Linked DNA regions of Stegostoma tigrinum. The protein of the gene in region 2 purifies or fractionates together with the protein of the main gene of each other region. This does not show direct contact. Links are inferred from orthologs where the notes say so. Each region holds a gene or a part of one and is shown on either strand. Other genes may lie near its edges. The genes, in order: ech1, mapk6, eci2 and neurl4.

What was found.
Region 1: the proteins of mapk6 (region 2) and ech1 purify together in Homo sapiens (affinity purification with mass spectrometry; 3 studies listed by BioGRID and IntAct, with this or other methods). This does not show direct contact. The link is inferred for Stegostoma tigrinum from reciprocal best matches to the Homo sapiens genes MAPK6 and ECH1.
Region 3: the proteins of mapk6 (region 2) and eci2 purify together in Homo sapiens (affinity purification with mass spectrometry; 3 studies listed by BioGRID and IntAct, with this or other methods). This does not show direct contact. The link is inferred for Stegostoma tigrinum from reciprocal best matches to the Homo sapiens genes MAPK6 and ECI2.
Region 4: the proteins of mapk6 (region 2) and neurl4 purify together in Homo sapiens (affinity purification with mass spectrometry; 6 studies listed by BioGRID and IntAct, counting the BioPlex papers as one, with this or other methods). This does not show direct contact. The link is inferred for Stegostoma tigrinum from reciprocal best matches to the Homo sapiens genes MAPK6 and NEURL4.

The regions. Positions count from the first base shown.
Region 1 is NC_081392.1:7,501,265-7,508,380, forward strand, and holds the start of ech1 (delta(3,5)-Delta(2,4)-dienoyl-CoA isomerase, mitochondrial), read right to left. Parts: upstream 3,027-7,116; 5' UTR 2,941-3,026; coding exon 2,904-2,940; exon of another isoform or gene 2,900-2,903; intron 2,874-2,899; exon of another isoform or gene 2,071-2,873; coding exon of another isoform or gene 2,046-2,070; intron 1-2,045. UniProt on the Homo sapiens protein: Isomerization of 3-trans,5-cis-dienoyl-CoA to 2-trans,4-trans-dienoyl-CoA.
Region 2 is NC_081386.1:20,395,721-20,402,609, reverse strand, and holds the start of mapk6 (mitogen-activated protein kinase 6), read left to right. Parts: upstream 1-3,863; 5' UTR 3,864-3,985; intron 3,986-6,889. UniProt on the Homo sapiens protein: Atypical MAPK protein. Phosphorylates microtubule-associated protein 2 (MAP2) and MAPKAPK5.
Region 3 is NC_081355.1:11,868,824-11,875,903, reverse strand, and holds the start of eci2 (enoyl-CoA delta isomerase 2, mitochondrial), read right to left. Parts: upstream 3,011-7,080; 5' UTR 2,770-3,010; coding exon 2,714-2,769; intron 1-2,713. Other genes in the region: cdyl (chromodomain Y-like protein), read left to right, coding at 3,379-3,402. UniProt on the Homo sapiens protein: Able to isomerize both 3-cis and 3-trans double bonds into the 2-trans form in a range of enoyl-CoA species. Has a preference for 3-trans substrates.
Region 4 is NC_081398.1:13,795,762-13,802,765, reverse strand, and holds the start of neurl4 (neuralized-like protein 4), read right to left. Parts: upstream 3,020-7,004; 5' UTR 2,878-3,019; coding exon 2,713-2,877; intron 1-2,712. Other genes in the region: gps2 (G protein pathway suppressor 2), read left to right, coding at 4,040-4,133. UniProt on the Homo sapiens protein: Promotes CCP110 ubiquitination and proteasome-dependent degradation. By counteracting accumulation of CP110, maintains normal centriolar homeostasis and preventing formation of ectopic microtubular organizing centers.

The DNA.
Region 1 (7,116 bases), on a different chromosome or scaffold from region 2:
AACATTACAGCACAGTACAGGCCCTTTGGCCCTCGATGTTGTGCCGACCTGTCATACCGATCTCAAGCCCATCTAACCTACACTATTCCATGTACGTCCATATGCTTGTCCAATGACAACTTAAATGTACCTAAAGTTGGCGAATCTACTACTGTTGCAGGCAAAGCCTTCCATTCCCTTACTACTCTCTGAGAAAAGAAACTACATCTGACATTTGTCCTATATCTTTCACCCCTCAATTTAAAGCTACGCCCCCTCATGCTCGCTGTCACCACCCTATCCATCCTATCTAACCCTCTGATTATTTTATATGTTTCAATTAAGTCACCTCTCAACCTTCTTCTCTCTAATGAAAACAGCCTCAAGTCCCTCAGCCTTTCCTCATAAGACCTTCCCTCCATACCAGGCAACATCCTAGTAAATCTCCTCTGCACCCTTTCCAAAGCTTCCACATCCTTCTTATAATGTGGTGACCAGAACTGTACACAATACTCCAAGTGCGGCCGCACCAGAGTTTTGTACAGCTTCACCATAACCTCTTGGTTCCGGAACTCGATCCCTCTATTAATAAAAGCTAAAACACTGTATGCCTTCTTAACAGCCCTGTCAACCTGGGTGGCAACTTTCAAGGATCTGTGTACATGGACACCGAGATCTCTCTGCTCACCTACACTACTAAGAATCTTACCATTAGCCCAGTACTTTGCCTTCCGGTTACACCTACCAAAGTGCATCACCTCACACTTGTCTGCATTAAACTCCATTTGCCACCTCTCAGCCCAGCTCTGCAGCTTATCTATGTCTCTCTGCAACCTACAGCATCCTTCGTCACTGTCCACAACTCCACCTACCTTAGTGTCATCTGCAAATTTACTAACCCATCCTTCTCATCCAGGTCATTTATAAAAATGACAAACAGCAGTGGACCCAACACCGACCCTTGCAGTACACCACTAGTAACTGGTCTCCAGGATGAACATTTCCCATCAACTACCACCCTCTGTCTTCTTTCAGCAAGCCAATTTCCCATCCAAACTGCTATATCTCCCACAATTCCATTCCTCCGCATTTTGTACAATAGCCTATTGTGGGGAACCTTATCGACAGCCTTCCTGAAATCCATATACACCACATCAACCGGTTTACTCTCATCTACCTGTTTGGTCACCTTCTCAAAGAACTCAATAAGGTTTGTGAGGCACGACCTTCCCTTCACAAATCTGTGCTGACTATAAATATTTGACATTAAGCAAAAAAAAATTTATTTAAAGCCTATAGTTAAAATACAAACAAAATGAAGAACTTATAATAACGTAGCTCTATTGGATGACTTAACCAAATAACAGATGCGTAACTATTATTAACTCACTGTTCCGATATGTAACACCCCACAAACACAACCATTGGTGAAAGGGGAAATTCAGAAATATATTCTCACAATCCAGGAGGAAAGAAACATCAAGAGAAAATTCAAAGCAGCCAGGAGACATTTACTGAAGCTTCCAACTCAATTGAGACCCCAACAGTTTCTGATGCTATTGAGAAACCAAAACCCAGAAATCCTGATCTGAGAGAGCTGGCTGCATACGTTCAATGATAATGGGAACTGCAGATTCTGGAGAATCCATGATAATAAAACGTGAGGCTGGATGAACACAGCAGGCCCAGCAGCATCTCAGGAGCATAAAAGCTGACGTTTCGGGCCTAAACCCTTCATCAGAGAGCTGATGAAGGGTCTAGGCCCGAAACGTCAGCTTTTATGCTCCTGAGATGCTGCTGGGCCTGTTGTGTTCATCCAGCCTCACATTTTATTATCTTGCATACATTCAAGCTGTTTTTTAAAACAAAATCCAAGGTCTCCCAAGTTGTTTACTCAAGCAGCCTTCACTAACCACTTCAGAGCCTCTCATTCAATCTCTCTCTTAAAAGAAACCAGGACAAAATAACATCTTAAAGCCACAGCATCATCACACCTTCTTGAATCACTGTAGTCTATGTGTGGCGTAGGGACACTGATCGAAGCAACTTCTAGAATTTTGACTCACTGATGCTGAAGGAACAGCAACACATTTCCAAGTCTTACAGGTGACACTTCCAGGTGGTAAAGGATGTAGGTTTGGAAGGTGCAGTCATTGCAGTCTGGGAGAGTTGCTGCAGCGTATTCCGGAAGAAATGCACGCTGCTGCTACTAAGTGTCAGTACTGGAGGGATTTGGAACGTGGTGCCAGGCTCTGTCCTGGACGGTGTCGAGCTCCTTGAGTGTTGTTGAAGCTGCAGCCATCTAGGCAAGTGTGGGGTATTCCATTACTCATGGAATTTGACTCGACTTATGCCTTGTGGATGGTGGGTTCTGCTAATTATTGTCCAGGCCATGAATGCTGAGGGAGATTGAGATTCTCTTGTTACTAGGAAAGTTGCAGGTCAAGACTTTCAGCCTTAGCCAACTGCCAGGCTCTTCCAGGCAGCAGTAAACTTCCTCTCACACCCTCCCACAGTGTACTCTCCTTTTCTTTAAAAATCCCAGATCATTAACAAAAACCCCAATGTTTTTATCTGCCCCGCACTGTACAGTAGTTAACTGTCTCACGGTATGGAGTGCCCAGGTTCGACTCCGGCCTCGGGCGACAGCGGGCAGTTTGCACATGCCTGGGTGGTCAGCTCTTTGGAGGGTCGGTACAGACTCGGTGGGCCGAATGGCCTCCTTCCGCCCGATTGAACCCCCAAACCAGGGATAGTGCCCCACTCGCACGGACTTTATTTGGTTCCGAAGGCTTCCTGGCGCCTCCGCAAAACTAAAGTCCGCTTCACCCTGGGAGGCGCTGAACCGGCGGCTTAACCGCACACGAACCAGACGTGTCCCCCAGATACCGCCCTCCGGCCACAAAAGCCCCGGACTCACTCACAACCGCTCCGCAATCCCGCAAACAGCAGGCCAGCCATCAGCCCCCCGCAACAGCAATCTGCGACCGTGACATACAGCGCCGCCCACGGCCCGGCAGAGTCACTGCGGTACAGCGCCACCCACGGCCCGGCAGTCACTGCGGTACAGCGCCACCCACGGCCCGGCAGTCACTGCGGTACAGCGCCACCCACGGCCCGGCAGAGTCACTGCGGTACAGCGCCACCCACGGCCCGGCAGTCACTGCGGTACTGGGTACAGCGCCGCCCACGGCCCGGCAGAGTCACTGCGGTACAGGCTACAGCACCACCCACAGCATGGCATAGTCGCTGTTGTAGTACAGCATATAGCGCCACCGACAGCCCAGCATAGTCGCTGCACCATAAAACCACACAACATGTCCAATAGAAACGAGGTAGAGAAGAATAGAGGTAACGTGTATCCTCGAGCCTGAGGATGGTAATATTGACAGAAAATGGATAATTACAACTTAGGGTTGGGGGGAAGGGGTTAAAAAGTGATCATCAAAATTGATTGAAAGCTTGGAAGTAGAAATGAGATTCTGTTCCTCCATTTAGTTATGAGCTTCATTGGAACATACTGCAGCAATGACAGCAAGATGGTGTTGAAAAGGGCGAGCAATTGGAAGGGCAGGATCATTCTTAGATAAGGTGCACTGCTAAACAGTCACCAAGCCTGCATTTGGTTGCGCCAATGTAAAAGAGACCACATGTAAATAGGCAACAGTAGACTAGATTGAAATTTAAAGCACTGATTCAGCTGGAAGGTGTTTGGGCCTTGAACAATGAGATGGGAAGACGCAATTGCAAGAGGCAGTGTAGGGTCAGAAGGGAGAGAATGGAGATGAGGAAGTGTTAGAAGTGATGGCGGGGAAGAGAAAAATCCCTACAACGTGGACATAGGCCATTCAGCCCACCAAGTCCACGTAGACGCTACCCCTACCATCGCTGTGTAACCCTGCATTTCGCATAGCTAATCCACCTAGCCAGCAATGTCTGCAGTGTGCAGAAAAATTAACATGAAAAACCCATCTAACCTTCACATCTTTGCACCATGAGAGGAAACCCACTAAGAAACAGGGATGGTGTGTAAACTGCATACAGTTGCCCAACAGTGGAAGTGAACTTCTGGTACTGTGAGGCAGCAGTGCTTACAAGCCCAGCCTTGGACCTCAGACAGATGCAAATGAGTCGAGGAGAGTGACTTGACACAGTCAAGCTGACTGTGGGAGTTAGTAGGTTTGTAATGGATTTAAGGGCACAGCATATCCCCAGAAATGCAAACAGTAGTCAAGGAAGGGGCAAGGATGGACTAAATGAAGTTAAATATGGATACTGAAAACTAACATTTATTTTACCAATTCGGGACAAACTCAGGAAGCAGCAATAATGCAGTTATTGCCATACTAATGAAGAGTTGAGAAAATATGCCGAGTACACATGTTCTACATACCCTACGAGAGAGGCAGGTATAACTGGGACCCATAGCCACTCCATTCAATTGGAGACAGAGTTAAGGAAGAAATAGTTACTCAATGGGAGTATGTATTTTTCACTGCCCTGATTAAGTGAGGAGACTTGAAAATGAAAAATGGTATCAAAATAAAAGAATAATGCAACATTGAATGGAAGTAAAATCAAAGTGAGGAAAATTTTTTATTAAAATTCAAAGGCTGAAGTGTCAGGAAGACAGCTAGCTACAAAATCTTAAAAGTAAAAAAGTACAATGAGAAAAGTTATGCCACTGTTTGTGCACAGAAAGCAGCGGAGGCCAAAATACTGAGTGTTTAAGGAGGCAGATACAGTTCGCAGAGCTAAAGGGAATCAATGGCACGGGGGAAAGAAAAAGCAGAAACAAGGTATGGAGTTGGAAGATCAGCCAAGATTGTATTTATGTGTCAAAGCAATGCAAAAGTAGTGTGTGAAAGAAATGCAAGACTGAAAAAGCCCAAAATGTTTAACAAGTAGAACAATTAAGTAAAAGATTCAATGACCTAAAAGTGCCAGAGAAACAGGTAAATAACTGCACTGCAAGTGTCTTAAACTGAATAAACTTCTAGCCCTAGGCAGCACCTGATGTAATATGGTAGAGGCAGCTTTAATGTAAGATACAATGGAGTCCAAAAAAAAGGTCTTGGTAAAACAACAAGGCACTCATCAGATCAACCTAGAACATACAGTCAACAGCTTTAGGACCCTCATCCAAGAAAGCATATCGTGGCGTTGGAGGCAATCTAGGAGGTTCACAAGCTTGTTCTCAGGTACAGCAGGGATTATCTTATGAGGTGTTGTGGATTTCAGGCCTGCACTCATCGAAATATACAAGATTCCTAGGGGAGTTGACAGGGTAGATGTGGGAGAGTCTAGAACTAGAAGGCATACCATGGTAAGGGATTACCCAGTTAGGGCAAAAATGAGTATTTCATCTCAAAGGGTAGTAAACCTATGGAATTCTTCAGAGCAGAGAGGGGGGAGGCCAGGTCAATAAGTATATTTGAGGCAGAGGGATTTTTAAACCAGCAAGGGAAGTGTATTAGGGAAAATGGAGGAAAAGGATGGTCAAGGATTATCAGATCAGCCATGATCTTGTTGAACAGTGGAGCAGATTCAAATGAACTGAAATGGACTTCTGTTGTATCTTATGGTCTTCAAAACTCCACCCTCACCAGCCAGAAATCACAATACGGGAGCTAGCCTACAGCTACAACTCAAAGGGCTGTCCAAGTTCAGTATGTTCAAGGCTCATCTAATATTTAGATATGCAGGCAATCGAGAAAGATGGAAGGTGAAAGACAAAAAGGTAGAATTGAAGTTTAAAATCTGCTGTGATTGTACTGAAGGACAGATTCGCTCCCAAGGGACAAACGGTCCAACGCTGCTTCTATTCTGTGGAAGAGGAAAGTTAATATTTCAGGTCAATGGGACTTTTGGCAGAATGAGAAAATACTAGGAACATCTTTAAGTATAGAAGCAGAGAGTGTTGGTGTGAAGTAACAAAGGGAAGATCTGAGAGAAGGTGGAAGATGAAATTAAAGTGACAAAAGGAATGAATTGTTGCACATTAGACAAAATGTGGAGAGGGTGTGAGTGTGCAAACAGAACTATTAACACTATTAAAAGAACATTTTGAACTAGTTACACACACTGCAGAACTCACTTTAGTCCACATATTCGTTGGGTGATTACTTAAAAGCAAAGTGCTGTCCCTTGAATTTATGGATAACTTTCATTAGCACTTTCAGACTAAAGGACAGAGGTCAGAGAGAGAGATTGATAATTGAAACAGTATGCCTGGAAGCTCAGGGTTCTGCTTGTAAGCACAAATTCTATGCAAAATGATCACCTGATTTGAACCAAGTGGTACTACAGTGCAATGATTTCAGAATATCAAACTGAAAGTAAATACACAGTCAACTTGAATGAGGCCACAAAAAGGACAGGTGACATCACCTGTGTTTTCATGGGACAGTACCAAGAGTGGTTCCATAGAGAACTGAATCAAAATGCCATGCACAAAACTGACCTTTCAGGTTTTCAGGATGAGTGAAGTTAAGGCACTTAGGATTTAATTTAGTTAAACAATTACCTTGTGTTGTAACCATGCTGATTTTTTTTCCAAAATAAACCAAGTGGCCACAAGGTTGTGCCACAGTACCTAATTGGCCACCGAGAAGTCAGAGTAGAGTAATGTTGTTGGTCGACATTAAATGGCAGAGACCACGTCTGTTAATTTTTTTTTTGGGGCTGAAAAATTACATCCCCACTTGACCATTATGTGCAGCCTGACAAATCATTACTAGATGGTGACCAATAGTCACTGGGAGGTTTGCTTTTATTTAACCGAAAGTCACTGCCCGTTAACAAAAAGCAAGACTCCCAGTTAGACATACTGCTTGCCTGACTTGTCACCTTGGAGGTTTCATGGAGCCTCTCAAATCAAGGTGTTGCACTGACATAGTCAACATTATTTAAAATCATATCACACTGGTTCAGACAATCGAAGGTGGTGAATTTACCACTGGCTAAATAGTTGATCATTAAACTGCAAATACCAAATTGATCAATTGTAGACATGAATGCAACTTGGAGGGTGTGACATGGTTACCACTACTAAGACTTGGCTGTATGTGGATAAGGCTGTAAGATTAACAAGATGGGGAAGCATGGAGCAGCTTTAAGAAATAAAAATCACAACCA
Region 2 (6,889 bases):
AGGAAACCTATGCAGACCCGGGGAGAACGTGCAAACTCCACACAGGCAGTTGCCCGAGGGTGGAAATGAACCCGGGTTTCCTGGTGCTGTGAAGCAGCAGTGCTAATACCCAGTTAGGATAGGAGAAACTTTGACTCTCAGAGAATGGTGAATCTGAGGAATTCTTTACTGCAGAGAGCTGTAGAGGCTAGATTGACAGGCAGCTTTTTAATCAGTAAGAGAATCAAGGAAAGTGGAGTTGAAGATTATTATATCAACCATGATCTCATTGAATGGGCTCAATGGGCTGAATAGACTATATCTCCTATATTTTATGGTCAAATGTCCTAAGTTGTAATGAATGCCTTCCGCAATACAAGACTTTGAAATATCTTGATTCAGTAGCGCTATTACTTAAACAAATGATTCAAACAGAATGTTGTATGTGAGAAGGTTCTCTACATAACTGAAGAGATGTATAGTTTGCAATATCCAGAGAGAGATCCTCCACCAACTATATAGACTGCCTGCACACTTCAGCCTCCATGTTAGGGAAACAAACCAGTCATGTGAACACAGAATGTGTGCTCTAGAATCTCACTGGTAATAGGATACTGCTAGTGTTAGCGCATCCAATCCCTTCCTTTGAATATTTCACTTTGATGTAGTTCAAACTGCTTTTGAACAAAACCCAATATCAAGCATTGTGAAACAAGCACTCATCCTATGTGAGATCCACGATAGTGTGAAAAATGACATCAAGAACAAAATAACTTGAAATAAAATAGGAGAAGGAGTCAACTAGATGGACCCTGAAGTCTGCTCCACTATTCAGTGTATTTGTGATTAATTTTGGATCTCCATTCAACTTTACAGCCATAAGATTCATCTCTTGATTTTCCTAGTGTTGGAGAATCTTTTTTTCTCAACCTTCAATATTGTCAGTGATTGAGCATTTACAACTCTTTACTTGTTGTCTCGATGCACCACACAGTGTGCTACCAGAGTGGGAAGAAAAATTGGTCACACCTTCTCACCCACAGATATACACCTTCTGTCAGCACCTCCTGGTGTGGAATTACCAATTATGTAGAGAACAAAACAGTTTACCTTGTGAAGTGTGGTGAACAGCAGGCAGGGTGGAGATGGATTTCTATCAAAGACAAACTGATGATGCAGCTTTTGATTCTCTTTATTTTCAGTAAGTCATCATCTTTAAAAGAATTGTTTTTTGTTTTAAAGATTGCTAATCTTCGATTCATAAGCCAAGAACATTGTACATCTGGGCAGCTGCTGTGGCCATGAAGTCAAAGAAATATTTGAACAGAAGAATAAAACCAGGACCATCCACATTCTGAAGACAAAACTAAATAAGATCAAAAGAATGAAGTGTGTTGGAAAACAATGTTTGAATTATTATTACAGTCCATTCTGTGCAAGACAAAGCTTCTAGACATAACTTTCATCTATTACCGGTTAACAATAGCTGTTCTCAACTTGAGCCAAATAATTGATGTTAGTACTAAACATGGTGAGGAACAGGGTACAGATTCATTGGAGTTGCATGCATTTCAGGAACAAATAAAGCTTCTGTCTACATGACTAGACCTGTACAGGGTTGACTGCTCCTCAAATGCACCTGTCAATTTGGATCAGATTATGTTATTTGGACCCTTTAGTTATGTGCCTCATTGTAGTTCACTCTTTTGTCTCAAAGAGGGATGGTGCTGACAGAAATCATTAGATCAAGTCATAGAGTCATACAGCATGGAAACAGACCCTTCACCCAACTAGGAGCAGCACAGTGGCTCAGTGGTTAGCACTGCTGATTCACAGTGCCAGCGACCCGGGTTTGATTCCACCTTTGGGTGACTGTCTATCTGGAGTTTGCACATTCTCCTTGTGCCTGTGTGGGTTTCCTCTAGGTACTTTGTTTCGTCCCACAGCCCAAAGATGTGCAGGCTAGGTGGATTGGCCATGCTAAATTGCCTGTAGTGTTCAGGGATGTGTAGATTAGGGGGATGGGTGTGGGTGGGATCCTCTGAGGGTTGGTGTTAACTTGCTGGGCCAAAGGCCCTGTTTTCACATGGTGGGGTTTCTATGATAGCCCATGCTGAACATAATCCCAAACTAAACTAGTCCCACCTGCCTGCTCCTGCATACACCTCCATTCCTTTCCTATTCATGCACTTATCCAAATGTCTTTCAAACATACTTGTACCCACATCCACCACATCCTCAGGGCATTCAGTCCACGCGCTAACTACCCTCTGCAGAAATAATTTGCCCCTCGTGATGTTTTTAAATCTCTCTCCTCTAACCTTAAAAATTTCACGTGCTCTAGTCTTGAAGTACCCTCAGGCAAGGTGATCTTTCCCAAATAAAATAAATGTACAAGGATAGCAGGCATTTACCGAGTTCAGTGATTTCTGAGCCATCAGAAAAACATTCTCCTCTAATGCCCCAAGTGGTGCTCATCTACTGAATGGCCTGAATTAGCAAGTTGTGCAATTCCTGCACTAAGGTACACACAGACAGAGATGAAGGTTGCCACCTTCTTGCTTTGCAATAACCTCTTAACACCATTCCTCATAAAATAGCACTGTTGGCCCATAGAATTCAGCATACACAGAAGCAGTGAAGGGTCTCGACCCGAAACATCAGCATTCCTGCTCCTCTGATGCCTGCTGTGTTCATCCAGCTCTAGACCATGTTATCTCAGGTTCTCCAGCATCTGCAGTTCCTACTATCTCTACACAGAAACAGGTCACTTGGCAAAACTGGTCTATGCGTCAACATGAGTCTGAGGAAAATATTTCCACAGAAGATCAATTGATGTCAAGTTAAGATAAACCCCTGTTACTGTCATACCTTACACGGACTCAAAGTGCGTGGGGATTGTCTCAGGGTTGGGTGCAGGAAGTAACAATCTATATATCTGCAAATTCCAAAAGCATAATCCTGCTGGCTACAACAATGTAATGATTACTCAGTGCACATCAAGCAGGCGCTGGAGTTCTCCATTATTGTTTCCGTGTATTCTGACACAGGCATATTTGGGATTGATTCTGAAACTGAAAGCCTTTATGCTGTCAAACTATCCAATTGCACGTTAGAAGATTTGTGAGAGCAAACTTGCATAGTCCACTGGCGCGTTTTGATGCTGTGTTGATGGGGGAGCATTTCAGTAGCTAAAATGTTGGGACAACATCCTCAATATATAGGGAATTGGGCAGTGCTTTGTAAACTTTTTATCTCATCATTTTTCTGGCACTCAGCACAGATTTATTCAACAGCATTCCTCCACTTTGTTTCTTTTGAATTTCCTCCTCACTTCTTTCTTGACAGCATTAACCTCAATATATTAGAAACACCATCAAGATGTTTGACTGTGGGCATCACAACGAAGCTCATAGCTGTCCTTCGCCCACATGCACACACAGTATTTACAGCTGAGCTTTCTGAATAGCAACATGGTTTAGGCACCATAGCTGCCCTTCCTGATCTTCTCCTCTGTGTTCATGAATCAGGCCAATGTTAATACTTTGGTTGGAATGAGCCAGCAGAGGAGCCCAGTACAAGCTTTTAATTGCACGATTGAGTCAGTGAACAACGGAAATGCTTCTCAATCTGAGCACAGTGCTCGTGGATTTTAGAGCTGCCATATTTCAGGGTGTTGAAAAAAATACAGTATAGAACTACTCCCAATATATTACCCTTTGCATCTCCATTCACTTATAACCTTTAATTATTAACTTGTGTTTCGCTAAAAGGTTCTTTAATATGCATTAACCTTTATAATTGTTCCAGTGGTGCATTTACACACTGACTTTAGACTCGCTTTCTTTGATAGGGGCTGATATTGTGAACTTGGTACAATCGCTCTGTAATTACCAAAGTGAAGCTCCCAGCAACTGGGGAATTTGTAATCACAGGCTACAGCATTTATGTGGCCTTCTGGTTCAACGGTGCAGAGTGTCGGTCTGCCTGGAGCTTTCACAGCAAAGTAAGTTGTTTTATGTCTTTTAATCATGAAATTTTGAATTGGACGTTCCTCTTCAGAATGATATCCGAAAGGCTTTTCATTGTTCATAAATGTTACGAACTACACATGTCATACATCCTGTGTTTCTTGTTGTCATTGTACTAAGGGTTCCATGAACTCCAACCCACATTAGGTTTCAAAGGCAACTCTCCAGTGAACTCAAAACTATTCTCTTACACTTTATGTGATGAAAGATAAATTGTGCATTTTTAGATATGGTCACTTCATCAAAAAGATTTTGGTTTCAAAGAAGGAGAGATAGTGTGTTGATCAGTATCATTTTCGCCACTGTTCATAGTCAGACCAGCACTAAGCTGGTATATATGTCCCTGTGAAGATCAGGTAACAAGGATGAAAATTACATTTCATGCTTGATTTTTTTATGTCAAGCTATCTTCCATAATTTACCTCACAGGATCACAGGGAACCTGAATATCTCAGTCCTTGTCTGTGTCCCTGGACTTACCTTCAGTGAATGCTTTTCATAATTTTAAACTAAAGAATGGTGCAGTTTTTTTTAGAAAGTAGGAAAAGGAAAGTCTTTTAGTTCTCTCTTCCTCATTATCTTTCTGTTTTTCTCCAAAAATATCTCTCTCTCTCCTGACTTCTCATTCAGATGCCCATAACTCAGTTGTGAACATAACAGCGAGGGCAGACGCACTAAAAAGCACAAACTTCATCACACTTAGCCTTATTCATGTCTAAGTTCCAACTCTGACTGCTTCCAGCAATATTCATTGGATACCAGTTAGGAATGGGAATCTTGGTTTACTAAGCCTGTTCTCTTTCCCAGACATCCCCTCCCCCACTGCATCCCAAAACCGGCCCAGCTCATCCCCACCTCCCTAACCTGTTCTTTCTCTCACCTATCCCCTCTTCCCACCTCAAGCCGCGCCTCCATTTCCCACCTACTAACTCCATCCCGCCTCCTTGACCTGTCCGTCCTCCCCGGACTGACCTATCCCCTCCCCACCTCCCCACCTATACTCTCCTCTCCACCTATCTTCTCCTCTATCCATCTTTGGTCCGCCTCCTCCTCTCTCCCTATTTATTTCAGAACCCTCTCCCCATCCCCCTCTCTGATGAAGGGTCTAGGCCTGAAATGTCAGCTTTTGTGCTCCCTAGATGCTGCTTGGCCTGCTGTGTTCATCCAGCTTCACACTTTGTTATCAGAGGAAGTGCACAGGCCCATGTAATGGGTTGCCAATGTGAAGGGAGAGCACAAAGAGGGTGATTTAATTGTTCTATCTCCAACAGTCATAGGTATTGAGACGAACAACTAATATTTTCAGTTCTTATTGCTTCCAAGGAAAGAACCTGCCCCCTCTCCTCCAATTCTAACTTGGTCAGTGTTCATGTCGGTTCCTGTGACCTCTGTAGAGATTTTCAAAAACAATTATTTATTTTACGATGAGCAAGATAGGTTCAATTTTACACAATGGCTAAAATATACAGCATTGGAGATTAATCTTTCTACTTCTTCCCATTGTTGTGAATGTTAGTCAATGCAAAATGAATATTGTGTGAATGCTTTACTTATGCTGTTTGTGTTGACATAGCACTTGCATTCAAGCAGAGACATGAAGACAACTGGTAGAAAGAAATGAATGCAAATGAAAAGGATAGCCACAGACACTTTTAATTGGGACATGTATATAACTTAATCCATCTCACCAAAATGGTGAAGCATATGGCTTGTGTAGACATATCATAACTTGAATATCAGCAACAGGAAAGGTGTTGAGTTTACATGGTGAATATTTCACTAAATTCAATGCTTTTTGGAGTCTGGAGCAACAGTCACCTTGTGCATAAGTGCAAAACATATTTTCAGATTAAGGAGATGTTTTTAGGCTCTCATCAATATGCTATTTCTTCCCATTTACTTCCTACAAATATAAATCTTTTAAGGTCTAACTTAAAGCACAGTTGGATGAGATGCCTGGTGTCCCAAGACTGACGCCTTTCCTTTTGTACAGTGAGGTACTTCAAATCTGTCTATTTGCTCCAATGAATTCCATTAAAATATTTATTTATGCCTACACAATGTCCCAGCAAAAATGTAAATCTACACATAACTTCAAGAATATTCAACATATGCAATTCATAATCGGACATTTGGATAATTTGTTTCGGGAGATCCGGAAACCCAGTTATTTACCAAAAGAATGGAGCCACATGATTTACTGTTTAGAACTAAGGTACTTTACTCTACACAAATCAAAGAACTTGAATATTAATAATTACTTTATCTCAAACAGTCAGTTATACTGAAAATATTAAAAGTACAATGAACACAGTCACCTGCACTCTGAACTAAAATTCTTAATATCTGTGCCATTTGACAATCACTCCAAAAGGCTCAAGTTGAATACTTATCATAAGTTGGAACAATAATCAGTTGGTCTGAGTACTATTTCAAAGTTTTATATAAGGGTTGTGATTTTTTGGGTCTTCTAATTACTTTGAGCAAAGTTGACCCTTCAAATTTCTTTCAATTGTTCCCATGGTTGTGGAGTCCAACCTTTTCTTCGCTAACATCTTAACCGGAGTCACTGATGATAGGAACTTTCCAGAAGCTAAAGTTCTTTAACTCTGAATCCATGCACCCGGGAACTCTCTCTCTCTCTCTCTCTCTCTCTCTCTCTCTTTCTCTCTCTCTCTCTTCTCAGCATGGTTATCACCTGAGATCCAACTCTCTGTTAATAGATTTCTTCTATTATCAAGGATTTTTAAACACTTTTAGCCAATGCACAGAATTTCAACTGAACTGTGTTTGAAAGAAATGTGCTCTGCAACTAACTTATTCTAGATTAAGTGGCCTGAGAGCAGATCCAAACCCAGGAAATTACTATGCTGCTCCCA
Region 3 (7,080 bases), on a different chromosome or scaffold from region 2:
AGTAACTGTGGAAGTATTGTTGTAGCCAATGGGGTACTGGAAGAAGTGTGCTCTCCTCTAGCCTTGTTCATAACACTCAAGTGGCAGTTTGCAGCTGGATACCCAACAAAGACATTATTAATACAATACTTCAATTACAATAACAGGATAAAAGGAAATACACCAGGTTTCTTGTGCATATCTATAAAAATAACTTGAAGTTGCCAAGACCTTTCTAGGTGGGGAAAGTTTGCATCAAATGACTGGCAAAGAAAAATCAAGATTAGGCTAATTGGCTGAGAAGTTTGAAGTAAAGTTAAAAGCAGATATGAAGAAAGCTAACAAAATTGAGACAACAGCACAAGTTTTTATTTTATGTTGTGGCCTTTGGAGTAGTTGGACAAGAGTGACATTGTCTGCTTCTGGTTTTGGTAATAATATACATTTTTATTCAATAAAGTCTTGAAATTATTGAATAAAACTGAAATCCGACCTGAATCCAAATACTGGTGTTGGCATCACATCTTGCAATTCTAGTCCTTAGAAATTAGGAACAGGTGCAGGCCATTCATTACATCAAGCCTGCTCACCATTCATTCGTGTTATTAATCAGAAATGATTGTAATGTCTTTACTACCAGCATCCCCAAAACCCTGTATGCCATCGGTAATTAGAAATACATTGAAATCTATCTTAAATCTATTTTACTCAAAGACTGAGCTGCCTCACCCTCTGTGGTAGAGAACTCAAAATTTAAAAAGGACATATTAGCAAGCCATACAAAGATATGTAATTAAGGGAATACAGCTACACATCAGGGATATGTGATGTAAGGTGGTACCAATATTTTCCTTGCTGACAGAATAATTTAGATTTTGAAATAACAGGCCAAGTCACAATTTTAACATGGTAATTAGCTCTCAATCTACGAATCCTACAGTTTTTAAGTTCTCTGGTAATGGATTATATTTGCAAGGTGTCATAATTGCCATCCTTAGGTTGTCCTGTAGTGGTGACAGGTCTTCACTTAAGTCCTGCAGTCTTTGTGACAATGCTACTCCAATAATGATGCTGAATCAGGACAGCACCTTAACCACCATAAATGTATTTTTCTAAAAGCAGCTTAATGATTAACAATTTGGCTCTGTATCATCTTCAGTAAAGGTATTATTCCAGTACACAGACAAATCTTTGAAAGTTGCAAATGACTGCACTTCACAACTTCAACAGCACAGAATATTATACCGATTACAGTCAAGAAATGTACACTGTGCTCTCATCTATATCATCCTGAGGGTTCTTTGTTTATTTCCAAGGCCACTTGACCCATCAAATAGAACCCTCTTTGGTTAACATCCAAATGTTTCTGGAGTATGACGAGTTGCTTCAGCCCAGTACTACAGGGACAAGATTGTTTCTTCTTGGCAAGATGGTTGTGAATAGTAATAAATGAGATCTTAAAAATTATTCAGACAGACAATGAGAAAAAAATTCTTTTACACAGATGCTAGAATGTGAATGACCTCTCATAAGTTTTTCTGTAGAGTGTGCACATTCTTTGAAAAGAAAGTTAGTTAGTTGCTTATATAGAGGAATACTAAAAGTTAATAGATATGAAGAAAAACAGCAAAACAGATTTGATGGGTTAACTTGACTTTCTGCTCTGTAAAATGATGTGACATGACTGTACAGTCAGTACCTTTTTGGTTTATAAAGACTGGCCAGAATTGGTTACAGGAGAGCAAAATAATTCTTTTCAGAATTTGAACTTTTGCATTAAATGTTGAAGAAAAGTGAAGCACTTGGCTTTGAAGAGGATATTAAGTTTCTTGGTTTCAACTCTTTAGTAATTTAAAAATTCTATGTGCATTAGAAATTTTTCACATTCCAAAGCCAGGCTAGACCCACAGCACACAGCATCTGCAAGAACTGTGTGTGTGTGTGTGTGTGTGTGTGTGTGTGTGTGTGTGTGTGTGTCGGTGGGGGGGGGGGGGGGGAGGGGGAGGGAGTGAAACCGGCAATATTTAAAGTCATGATTTGATGACAGAGTTTGGGTTGCAGGGGTAATGACATTATAGGAAGAAAGCATGATCACGAGGAGTAATAATTTGCACAATTTTCTAGAATTCTACTGAACTTTGGACTGTCACATTATGTGGCCAACTTCAGAGAGAAATTCTACAAGACAAACGAGGAACAGTGGACTGATGCATGTCTTCAAGTATCATCCATAGCTAGGAAACAATTTAAAAGTGTTACGATGCCAGATTGAGAGTTAATTACCCTGTAATCTCAACACATTCTTCAATGTATGTGGAGGGTAAAGATCTCTGTTCAGAGCCTAAGACCACACTTAGCCAAACGTTGGCTAAATAACGTCCTTCACTTTTTGCTGCATTCAGTTGTAGAATTGGACTATAGACCTGTGCATTCGAAAATGAACAATGTAAAGATCAATTCTGCGAACACAGGGATCGTGGCTTTTGATTAAGGATCACTCAACTGTTGACAGGCCAGTTTGAAGATTTTTGCATCAACCTCAAATGATATTGAAAAAGCTTCAACTTGAGACAATATGAAACTGAGGCCCGAGTCACTGCAATAATTCAACTTGTCTAGTCAACTCAAACTGTTGATTTCAGAAGAGCTAGACGTTATGTTGACAGTAGTCAAAGCTGAGCAGCGGCGTAAAAACTGGACCGGTGCCCAGCTCGCATCGGACGAACAACCTCACCTGAGCGTCTTCGTCAACTGCCACCGAGCCGGCAAGGTGAAGAATGCAGCAGCCATCCAAAACAGTTCCCCCAACACTGGGCCGTAGTGTCAAACATGCGTTGTCCGACCACTTGGACTTTTGCCCTCGCTACGCCCCCTTTCCGTTCAGCCGAACTTGACGGATCATCCAAAACCCGCCCTCTCGCTGCCGCTTGTCGCCGCGCGCTCGCGCCCGCCAAGTCGCCAACGTCAAAGAGCTCTCGGGGCACGCGCCGGCTCCAAAGCGGTGGCGGCCCAGGTCCGGACGGAGCTCTCTGACGTCACAACGCCCCGCCTGAGTCCCCATGTAGCAAATTAGGTTGATCTTTTTCTAATGACAGATCTTTCATAGAGCTCGCTCTTTAACCGTTTCGCTAGCTCGCCCGCTCGCACACCCCCAAGCACGACGAGTACGAGCACGCTCGCGAGGGAGTGCGCGACAGAGAGGGAGGAAAGAAAGTACAACTTCCGCTCTCCCTCATGGACCAGCGCGAGCTCCCTGCTGCGCAGAGCGAGTTGCGCACTGGCAGTTCTCCCCCTTCTCTCTCCTCCCTCCCGGAGTTAAAAGGAGGCCAGGCATCCAGACCACAGGGGGTTGGAAAGTGATTCTTTCTTACTTGATTCGAGCTATTTGGCAGTACGATTATGGCATCGGAGGAACTATATGAGGTATGGGGAGAGGGGGAAAAAATAGGTGTGATTTAAGGGGTTTCCGACTCTTACTTACTCATCAACCTCTTTAACCCCTTTCAACCTTTTCCTAACATCCCCACTTCTTCTCTGCCGCTTCCTCCTTTGAACCCGGAGTGATATGGCGATCCGAGTCCCCAGCTTTTGCTGGAGTGAGTATACCCGGTATGTGGGTGCGCACGCGTCCGGACGTGGAGGAGGGAAGGAGGGAGAAATGGTTGAGGAGGGGAGGGAGGGAGGTAGGTAGGGGTGGAAGTGGGTTGAAGACAGAGTTGTTTGAAATCACCTTTTGAAGGGAGACTTGACTTTTGGTCTACACAGTGTTGGTGATTGGCCTCCCCAGCCGTGTTATGTATAAGGCACTAGACTATGTGGCTAAGTGTAAGAGAGACGGGTTCTAACTATTTACTGCTGGCTTATGCTCTCACAACTAGTGCCGTCCTCAGCTATGTCGCAACGCACTGTAAACGAAGACAAGGATCCCAAAACTCGGGCTTCACCTTTTTTCCGTTTGAAGGGTAGAGGCTTTTTTTTTTATTTAAACGGTGACTTTATGTACTTCTCAACCACTCCAGGCTTACATTGGATGAAGTAGGTATTTGTTGATTGCAATTTGTTTTATCTCTTATGGGTGATTGGTTGTCTTTACAGATTCCATCAACGTTCCATAAACTAGGAGCAAGGTCTTTCTTCGGGTTTTTTTCTGTAATATAGTTCAAGTGGGTGTTTTTGGGGCTTAAGAGTTCAATGAGTAATGTATTGTACAAGCTACACTTGTTGAGATGGCTGTCCTTGTCTAGTTTACAACGTAGATCAGTCCAGGTTCATCTCGTCTTTTTTGGGGGGGGTTTGTATCTTTCAGACTTCCATGTCTACTTTTTTCTCTCCCTTCCCTGTTTGCATATTTCTCTATGGTATGAGAGAACTTGCCAATCAAGTAATGTGCAGGTCAAGACCTAAGTTTGAAAATTATTTAGAGTGATAAGTTCTTGTGAGGAAAGAGTTCAGCCCCTACATTTTAGAAGCTCTCTAGATCTTCAGATGTTTGACAAGTAGTCCTTGATCAGATTTTTATTTGTCAGTGAGCCTAGGAAAAATAGCAATAAGCTCAAGCCAGGATAACAACTGAGCTTTATATGCATTTGAGGGTGCATTTGGAGGGGGGAAGGAGTCTTTTTTTTTCAAAAAAAAACTATATTTATCCTCATTGTGAGTAGGATCTGTAAGATATTGAAAGCTTTGGTGGATGTAGTGTATTGTATAGTAATTTTGGCAGTTGAAACGTTGTCTGATGTTCCAGTCTGTGTTTTGATGACAGTTGGCTGAGGTTTGGAGGGGAGCTTCAGTATGACTGAAAGCTAGAATTTCAAACACTCTAGCAAATAAACTTCATTACTATGAGGATAGTTTGGAAACACCTGCATAGGTGGTTATTTTACTGTACCTAACTGATATTTTTTACATAAAGAATGACAGAAGTAAATGGAGCAAGAGCTTGGATTGATTGAATAATCAATTCATGACTTGACATAACTACTTCACTGGCAGTGATCTGATTTTTGTTTCTCTCGCAAGAAAAGTTGTGATTATTGGCCAATTTTGATGCTTCACACTTCTGTGTTCAAAACTTAATTGTTTGGATTTTGAACTGTTAAGGAAATTATTTTTGAAATTGTAAGTATGCAATACAATAACCTTTTTTTAAGGTTGGGAGCATTTTAGTTTAATAATGACTTTTTCTTCTAACTTTCACAAGTTTCAAGAACAGAAGGAACAATGGATTACTTTCTTGCATTTTTTTTGTCAAACTTAAGTATGAGCTTCCAATGTGAATAGTTTTCAAATGGCCGATATATGTTTATCAGAAGTTCATTTTGATTGTTCCAGAAATGTTGCAAAAAGCTCTTTTTATTGGACCAATCTTAGTCAATTACCTTTTATCTTTGGAGTTCTTGCAATGTTAAAATGTTTTACAGTTTTTTGGTGTATCCCTTCAAAATGGTCAGTGACTATACTGATAAGTTGCAGAATAACTTCTAACTGTAATTGGATCAAATTGTTTGTTTGTTTTTTGGTAAACACACTAATAATCTGGCACTGGTAGTAATTCATTCATTTTAGTGGCAAATACATTGATAATGAACAAAAGTCCTGGGTAAATACTGGCTGAAGAGACAAAATTACCAAATGCAGAATTCAACGTTGCCAATGTTATCTCTGTAAAGTTGAACCGTTAAGTCCACCAGGGTTATTAATACTGTTTGAGATGTGCATCATTAAAATTCAGATTTTTTTTTTAAAATCCCCCTGCTGCCTCCAAGACACATTTGTTGGATTTTTGCTTGGGTTCCAAAGAGCTTTTGTTAACATACAATTAAAATAGTTTATTCACAATATTTTGTGTATTCATGTGTCATTTTTCAGTTAATATATTGCCAGGATATATTGAATTAATCTGATTTCGAATCCTCTGATTTTTATGTACTCAATCAATTGTAGAGTTTGGATGGCTTTGTTAGTCAGTTTCAGCAGTAATCAGTGCAGTATAGTGCAAAAATTTTTCTTGTTGGGTTGCATCAAGTTCTTTGGAAATCATTTCATAATTGATTCCATCGTTGTGCAACTGAAAGGTACGTGCAGGTGGTGATATTTGGGTTCAGTTCAGATGCATTGTTTTGCTCTCAATATAAATGCAATTTGAGTGCCATCCTTCTGTTGAGTTTCGCAAAATTGTTAATCTTGTAATGAAGTTGTACTTTTGTTTTTCTCCAGTGTGATGACTATAGTCTAAATTCACTGGGCTGTAACATTGGTTGTACTCAATTACATTAGTAATACCAAAAAAAAGACCACCTTAAACTTGTAATCATAATTATCCACACGTCTTCCACAGCTTGATAATTATGCAACCCAAAAAGCAAGTAATGGAGGAGAGATTTCACTGCAATTTCCCATCATGATGAAGCAATGCTTAGTACTGATAAGGACTTGAAATTTTGTTTGTATTCCCATACAGTATTTATTTGTTCTGTAAATCTTGAGTGCTAGGCTTATGCCAATTATAGTTGTTTCCATTTCCATTTTAGTCTGTTTTGAATCTTGCACAAAATAGTAACATTTTTCCAAATGTAAATGACAAATTTCTTTTCCAAGGAACTATGCATATGTTAGGGTATGGTGGCTATGACACAGGACAGTGACCTGGAAGTGATGAATTGAAATTCTATTCCCAGCAAGTTTTGAGAAATTGAATTGAATAAATCAGAAATTGTGAGCTACTGGCAGAGGATAAGATGTCAACTGCTGAGTCTTGAAAATCCAGTGGTTCACCTCATGACTTTCAGGAAATAGCAGTAGCCATCCCATCCTCACGTGGTAGTCTACTGTATCACTTTAAAAAGACTATCCTGTGGTTATGCGATTGTGGCTGTTCAGGAATAATATCCTTTTCTTTAATTTTAAGAAGAATTGTATATTTTTCAGATGGGTCTGTAGTGGCATTGTTCATTCAAGAACAAGATATAATATATAGTTTGAATAATTTTACGTGATCATCTGCTTTTCCAGGCATCAGCAAATTCCTACATCTAGGAGATGATGATGCTTTATCACATTAAGTTAGGTTTTAATTTTTGTATTATTTTAAATGCCCCATGA
Region 4 (7,004 bases), on a different chromosome or scaffold from region 2:
CTCCCCTCATAATAGCTACCTCCACCCGAGGAAAATGTTTCAGGCTGTCCACACTATCTATACCTCTCATCATTTTGTACACCTCTATCAAGTCACCTCTCATCCTTCGTTGTTCTAAAAACAGAAAGGCCCTAGCTCTCTCAACCTTTCCTCATAAGACCTTCCCTCCATTCCAGGCAACATCCTGGCAAATCTCCTCTGCACCTTTTCCAACGCTTCCACATCTTTCCTGTAATGAGGTGACCAGAAATGGACACAATATTCTAGACGTGGCCAAACCAGGTTTTTGTATAACTGGAGCATAACTTCACTGCTCTTGAACTCAATCCCTATTAATGAAAGCTAACACACCATATGCCTTCTTAACAACTCTATCCACTTGGGTGGCAGCTTTCATGGAACCGTGGACATGAACCCCACGATCCCTCTGCTCCTCCACGCTGCCAAGAATCTTTCCGTTAACCCTGTGTTCCATTTTCAAGTTTGTCCTTCCAAAATAAACCATTTCACACTTTTCAGGGCTAAACTCCATCTGCCACTTCTCAGCTCAGCTCTGCATCCTATCAATGTGCCTTTGTAACATAGTGCGGAGGGCTGTTCTATCTACAATTTGACCCACCTTCATGTCGTCTGCAAACTTACTAATTCACTCTTCCACTCCTACACCCAGTTCATTTACAAAAGTCAAAAACAGAAGGGGACCCAGAACAGATCCTTGTGGTACACCACTCATAACTGAAAATGAAGGAGTTTATTCTGCATTTAACCCTGTGCTGCCACAGTTCCAGAGTGTTTGATGGGGATGGCATCAGTGGACCATTACTTAAAGTTTACTTTTAGTTCAAAGAGTGGAGATGGCTTTACTCTGTACTTAACCCTCTGTTGTTCCTGCCCCGGGAGCGTTTGACACAGATGGAGGTGCCTTTCAGTTTTAAGTGTAGAGGAAGTGTTAGTTTCAGTTTTAAAACCGTAGAGGATGCTCTGATTTCAGTTTACCATAGAATCCCTACAGCATGGAAGCAGGCCATTTGGCCTGTCACACCAACAGCGGCCCTCTGAAGACCATCCCATCTAGACCCACCCTCCTGCCTTAACCCTGCATTTCCCATGTCTAATCCACCTAGCCTGCACGTCTCTGGACATTATGTCCAATTTAGCATGGCCAATCCACGTAATCTGCTCATTTTTGTGGGAGGAAACTCAAGCAGACATGGGGAGAATGTGCAAATTCTATACACAAGGTTGCCTGAAGGTGAAAGTGAACCCAGGTCCCTGGCACTGTGAAGACAGCAGTGCTAACCACTGAACCACTGTGATCTTTACTCTGCACCAAAACGCCTGCTTTATCTCTTCTTGTGGTGTTTTAAGCAGACGTTGTTGAGGGGGCTTTACTTTCAGTTTAAAAGTGTAGAAGTATATTCTGTATCTAGCCCTGTGCTGGGAATGTTTGATGTGGACAGTGTACAGACAGCCTCACTCATTATGTAACCCTGTGATGCCCCCATCCTAGACATGTTTGTTAGGGTCAATGTTGAGCAAGCTTTACTTTCTATTTATTTTCAGTCTGAAAGACTAGAGAAATCATGTGCTGTTCCTCCCCTGGGAGTGTTGGATTGGAAGAACATAGAGGCAACACTTTGTATCTAATCATACGTCACCCTTGTCTTGGGAGGGCTTAGTGGAGACACAGTCAAGTACCCTGTAACTAACCCTGTGCTGTACCTGTTCTGAGAGTATTTGATGGCTGACATCTGGTGCAAACCATCACATGGAGCACACAAGGGCCCTCGAAACCAGATGGTGCAGTCCCACTGACAAAGCTGTGGCACCAGGCCAGTGAACCAAAGCATCACCTTGGTTTCCTTCTCTACACTAGCACTGCCCAGTCTTTTGCGCCCTTCCGGGACCTTCTACCAATGTTCCATTCCCTGGCGCCTCTGCACCTGGCCCTTGCCAGGAGTTGGCACTGTCCATCACATTGGGCTGCCTTCACTTGGGGGCTGGGGGGGAACCCTCGAGATGGTGTCCAAGGGCATGCTGGGGAGGAACCTTTACAAAATGACCAGAGAGGGATTTTGAATTTTTAAAACTGGGGACGGCAGGGGGCTACTTGACAAGCCACGTCGAGCCGACAGACAAATACCAGCCCGGGGGGGGGGGGGGGAAGAGGGGGTGCTTAGGGTCCTCTCTGCTGCAAATTGGGACAAGCTCCAGCTTTTTTCTGCTGGACCAAGTTCCACTCATTACATTTAATCCTCTAGCGATATCCACGATGTTTTTTTTTGGGGGGGGTGTCGCAATTATGATTAAATATGATTTAAGAAAATAAAATCACAAAACCTGCTATAGCGATGTTAAAGCTGGGGGGGGGGGTGTGTTCCCCCTTTTTACCTGCTGAGATTCCCCTTCCCGTGCACCTTCTGGTGTAGGCCTCAATCACCGGTGTTTCTTACTGAGCTTACCCCTGGGTATGAGGGTGGGGGTGAGGGTGAGGGTGGGGGTGAGGGTGAGGGTGAGGGTGGGGGTGGGGGTGGGGGTGGGGGTGGGGGTGAGGGTGGGGGTGGGGGTGAGGGTGGGGGTGGGGGTGAGGGTGAGGGTGGGGGTGGGGGTGGGGGTGGGGGTGGGGGTGAGGGTGGGGGTGAGGGTGAGGGTGGGGGTGGGGGTGAGGGTGGGGGTGGAGTTACAAACATCTACATCTCCCCCTGGACTCACCTTCCTGTCGATCCGGACCTGGAAGAGCTGCCCGTCCCCCAGCGGCTCTCGGCTCATCGCCAGCCCGTGGTTGAACTCCTCGGTCGGCTTGTTACGCTTGGCCGTGCGGTTGCCGTTCAGCAACGCCACCAACTTGCCGGTCCTCAGGTGGAACTCGGCCGCCATTCCGAGAGCGGAGAGAGGGGCTTACCGCCCCCTCCTCAGCCCGCTCCTGCTCCACGACAGCCTTCTCAACCGGGTCCTAAAGGAGTAACAGGGCCGGGGAGACTAACCCGCTTGACGGCTGCGGGGCAGCTGTATCGAAATCCGCTTTACGACGGCAGCGCCGTTTGATTTGACCGCCCCTCCGCGCTGGAAACCGGCGGCTCCGCTTTACGATCCCGTCGCGCGCCAAGGCCGTCGCCCGCTTCTCAGCGTCCGTCTCGCTTTACGGCTGCGGGGCGGATCTGACGGTGGGCGGGCGGAGTGTGATGGCGTTGGTGGAGTGAAAAGAGAGAGAAGAGAGAGAGAAAAGGAGGAAAGCGGCCCGGGGCCTGGAAACAGGGAATGGTGAGGGGAAGAACAGGGTGAGGGTGATGGGGACCTGGAGCTGCGGGATGTGGGGGAGATCAAGGAAAAGACCCGTGGAGAGAGGAGAAGGGTAGGTGGGAGGGGTGTTTGTGGAAGTGGTTGGGTAGAACAGTGAGAGGGAAATGGAGAAGGGAGGACATACCGATGAGAGTGGAGGGAATGGGGCACAGTTCTTGAGAATCCGGGAAGAACAGGGAGATTTGGGGAGAGCACAGCACCCTATGTGTAGCCAGCGTGTTTTGAAAGAGAATGCAATCTGTGGGAAGCCTGGCCTCTTGTCCTCCTGGGGTCTAATCCAGTATGGCTCTGGCTGTGGCTCATTCTGGGTTTCAAGCGAAACAGAATGGTATTGACTGGTTGATCCGGAGTTATTTGTTTGTGGTACGTTCTGTGTAAAGTGTGGGCTTCACTAGCCGAGCCAGCATTTACTGGTCATCCCTATTTGCCGTGGTGGTGAGACGCCACCTTAAACTGCTGCAGTCCCTGAAGTATAGGGACAGTGCTGTTAAGGGAAAGTGGGAAGTGTGACCCAGTTGCTGTGAGGAAACAGCACTGTAGGTCCAAGTCAAGTGTTTCAGAGGGGAACTTTTAGGAGTTCTAGTTAGCTGTGCTACACCGGGTGGTCTTGGGAAACAGTGTGGTGACTGTAGGTTTTCCAGATTTACTCTTGCGATTCTGTACCTCACACAAAGCTGATTTATGGCTTTTTCTCACCTGTTTTAGGTTCTAGTGTCTGGATCCTTCTGAAACAGAGACGATGCCCGCCCTACTGGAACGACCCAAGATGTCGAGCGCGATGGCGCGAGCTCTTCACCAGCACATCATGAAGGAGAGAGCACGGAAACGACAAGGTAGAAGTGCTGGGAAGGAAGTGTGAGTGTGCTCACACAATGTCTGGCAGGTAGATCAGGGCGGGACAATCTGGCAAAATGCTCAACAGAAAAATCTGCATGTGTCATGCTGTCACTGGCTCCCTGGGATATGTGCTGTTGTTATATCAGAATGCTGTGTTGTTATTGTTATGATCTGGTAGATGCCTGAAAGGGCAGCTTAAGCAGATCCAACTGGGCTTTCCAGAAGGGGAGTGCACAAGAATTTTGCAGGCCTCTGGGACAAAAGTGCTCGAGACCGTTGGACAAAGGAACACAGGGGAAGCCATTTGGCTCATATCGACCTTTATGCCAATCTGGGAGATGACGACTAATTATTCAAAGACTCTTTCTCCATGTTTTTGTGTTTCTCCCCTGGCTGGGGAGCATTCTTCCTTCTCGAAGAATTTTATCCATTTTAATTAGATCTCTGCTCATTCTTCTAAACTCAAATATATTGGATCTGTCTGTTCAAATTATACACGTAGAATAATTTCAGTATCCAAGGGATCAGGTTGAGATCATCTGCAAAGAATGTGGGTGCAACTCACTCAATCATTCCTCGCAGGACCTTGCCCACAGCCTATTAATCAATCCAGGGAATCTTCAATCCTATGCTACCCATAAGTCAGTTAAGGCATAAACTGGATAACTCTCACTCTTTTCTGGTGCCCTCCCCCTCTGCCTTGCCGGTGCCCTCCCTCTGCCTGTTGACCTTGCCATTGTTCTGTCTGTTCCTCCTATCCACTCCCATTCTGCGTGTTGCTCCACCTGCTTTGCCAAGCTTCATAACTCTCTAGCTCCACCTATGTCCCCCACTAGTTGGTCTATCCATCCCTGAGAGATCTACCCAGCTAGTTTCATTCTCCAGAGCTCTCCATCTCCACCTCCACCACTCTTCCAGGCAGCTCATTCTAAATCCTAACAACACTGAATAAAGATTTTCTCCTCATCTCACTCCAAGCCACCTTGCTGACAATTTTGAAATTGTTGTTACTGACATACCAACCAGTGGAAACAGAATATGCTTCTTTATTCTGTCAAAATTATTCATAAATTTTAACACTTCAATAAGGTCATATCTTAATCTTCTCTGCTCCATGTAGCATAAGCCAGATTTCTCTAATCTTATCTTGTATCTAAAATTCCTAATTCCTGGTATCATTCTAGCAAATCTCCTTTGCACTCTTTCCAGACCTTTAATGTCCTTCCTTAAATAAAGTGCCAGGACTAAGCACAGTCCTCTTAATTTGGTCTGATCAATGATTTGTAGAGGTGTAGCATCAGTTCCTTCCTTTTCTATGCTATACTTCTTTTTATAAAGTCAAGACTCCTATAAGCCTTAGTAACAACTGCTCCAACTTGTCTGGCCATCTTCAGAGAATTATACATGTGAACCCCGAGGTCCCGCTGCTCCTGTATTCCCTTCAAAGTTGTACCTTTGAGCCCATACTGTCTCACCCTGTCTCCTCTGTCAAAGTGCACTATCTTGCATTACTCTGCATTGAAATTCAGGTATTGCATATTTGGAAAACTTGCCAATATCTCTGCGAAGCCGCTCAATGTCATCCTCTAATTCACTATTCTACCTCAGTTAGTATCATGTGCAAATTTAGAGATTTTTCCCTCAACACCTATCTCCAAATTGTTCTTTTAAATCAGAAAAGGCAAGGGTCCCAACACTGATGCCTGAGATACATCACTTTCAACTTGTCTCCAATCTGCAATATGCCCACTTTACCCTCTTGCTCCTACCTTTTAGCTAAATTCTAATCCATGCTGCAAGATTCCATCAATACCAAACATTTCTAATTTGCTAACCATCCTGGCATGTGGCACCATATCGAATACTTTCTAATGTCCAAATATACAACATCCACAGCACTGCCTTCATCTGCTGCCTGGATCACCTTGTTAAGGAACTCAATTAAATTTGTCAGACATGACCTGCTATTGGCAAAGTCATGTTGACTGTCAAATATGAACTTACTTTTCTTTAAGTGTAAAACAGTCCTAAAACAGTGGCCCCTAATCACAAGAGGAGACATCTTTTCCATGTTCTCTTTGTCAAAACCATTTAGTATCTTATATCTTTCAATCAAGTCACTCCTCACTCTGCTAAACTCCAGTGGAAGCAAGACTGGCCCATCTAACCAATCCTCGTAAAACAACTTGGTCCAGCTCTCAAGAGTAAATCTCCACTGAACAGTCTCCAATGCATTTAATCCTTCCTTAAATAAGGAGACCAAAACTGAATGTAGTATTTGAGATGTGGTCTCACCTATGCCCTGTTTAACAGAAGCATAACATTCAAACTTTTATATTGAATTTCCCTGGTAATAAAGCATAGCATTCCATTAGCTTTATCGGTTACATGTTGTACCTAGATACTAAAGTCTTGTGACTTCTGGACTAAAATACCAAGATATAGCTACCTATCCAGAGTTCTAAAGTTATTTTCTGTTGAGCAGCACGGCATGGTGGCTCGTTGACTAGTACTGCTGTCTTCACAGCAGCAGGGACCTGGGTTTGCTTCCACCCTTGGGTGACTGTCTGTACTGAGTTTGTGCATTCTACCCTTTTCAGTACGCGTTTCCTCTGGGTGTTCCGGTTTCCTCCCACAGTCCAAAGATGTGCAGGTTTAGTGTATTGACAATGCTAAATTTCCCACAGTGTCCACGGATGTGCTGAGTGGATTAGCCATGGGAAATGCAGGTCTGTAGGGATAGGAACGAGGGTCTGGGTGCTCTTGGAGGGTTGGTGTGGACCCGATGGGCTGAATGGTCTACTTCCACACTGTAGGGATTCTATGAATACTCTGCCTTTTGATTCTTTCAGTGTGTCAACCTTGAT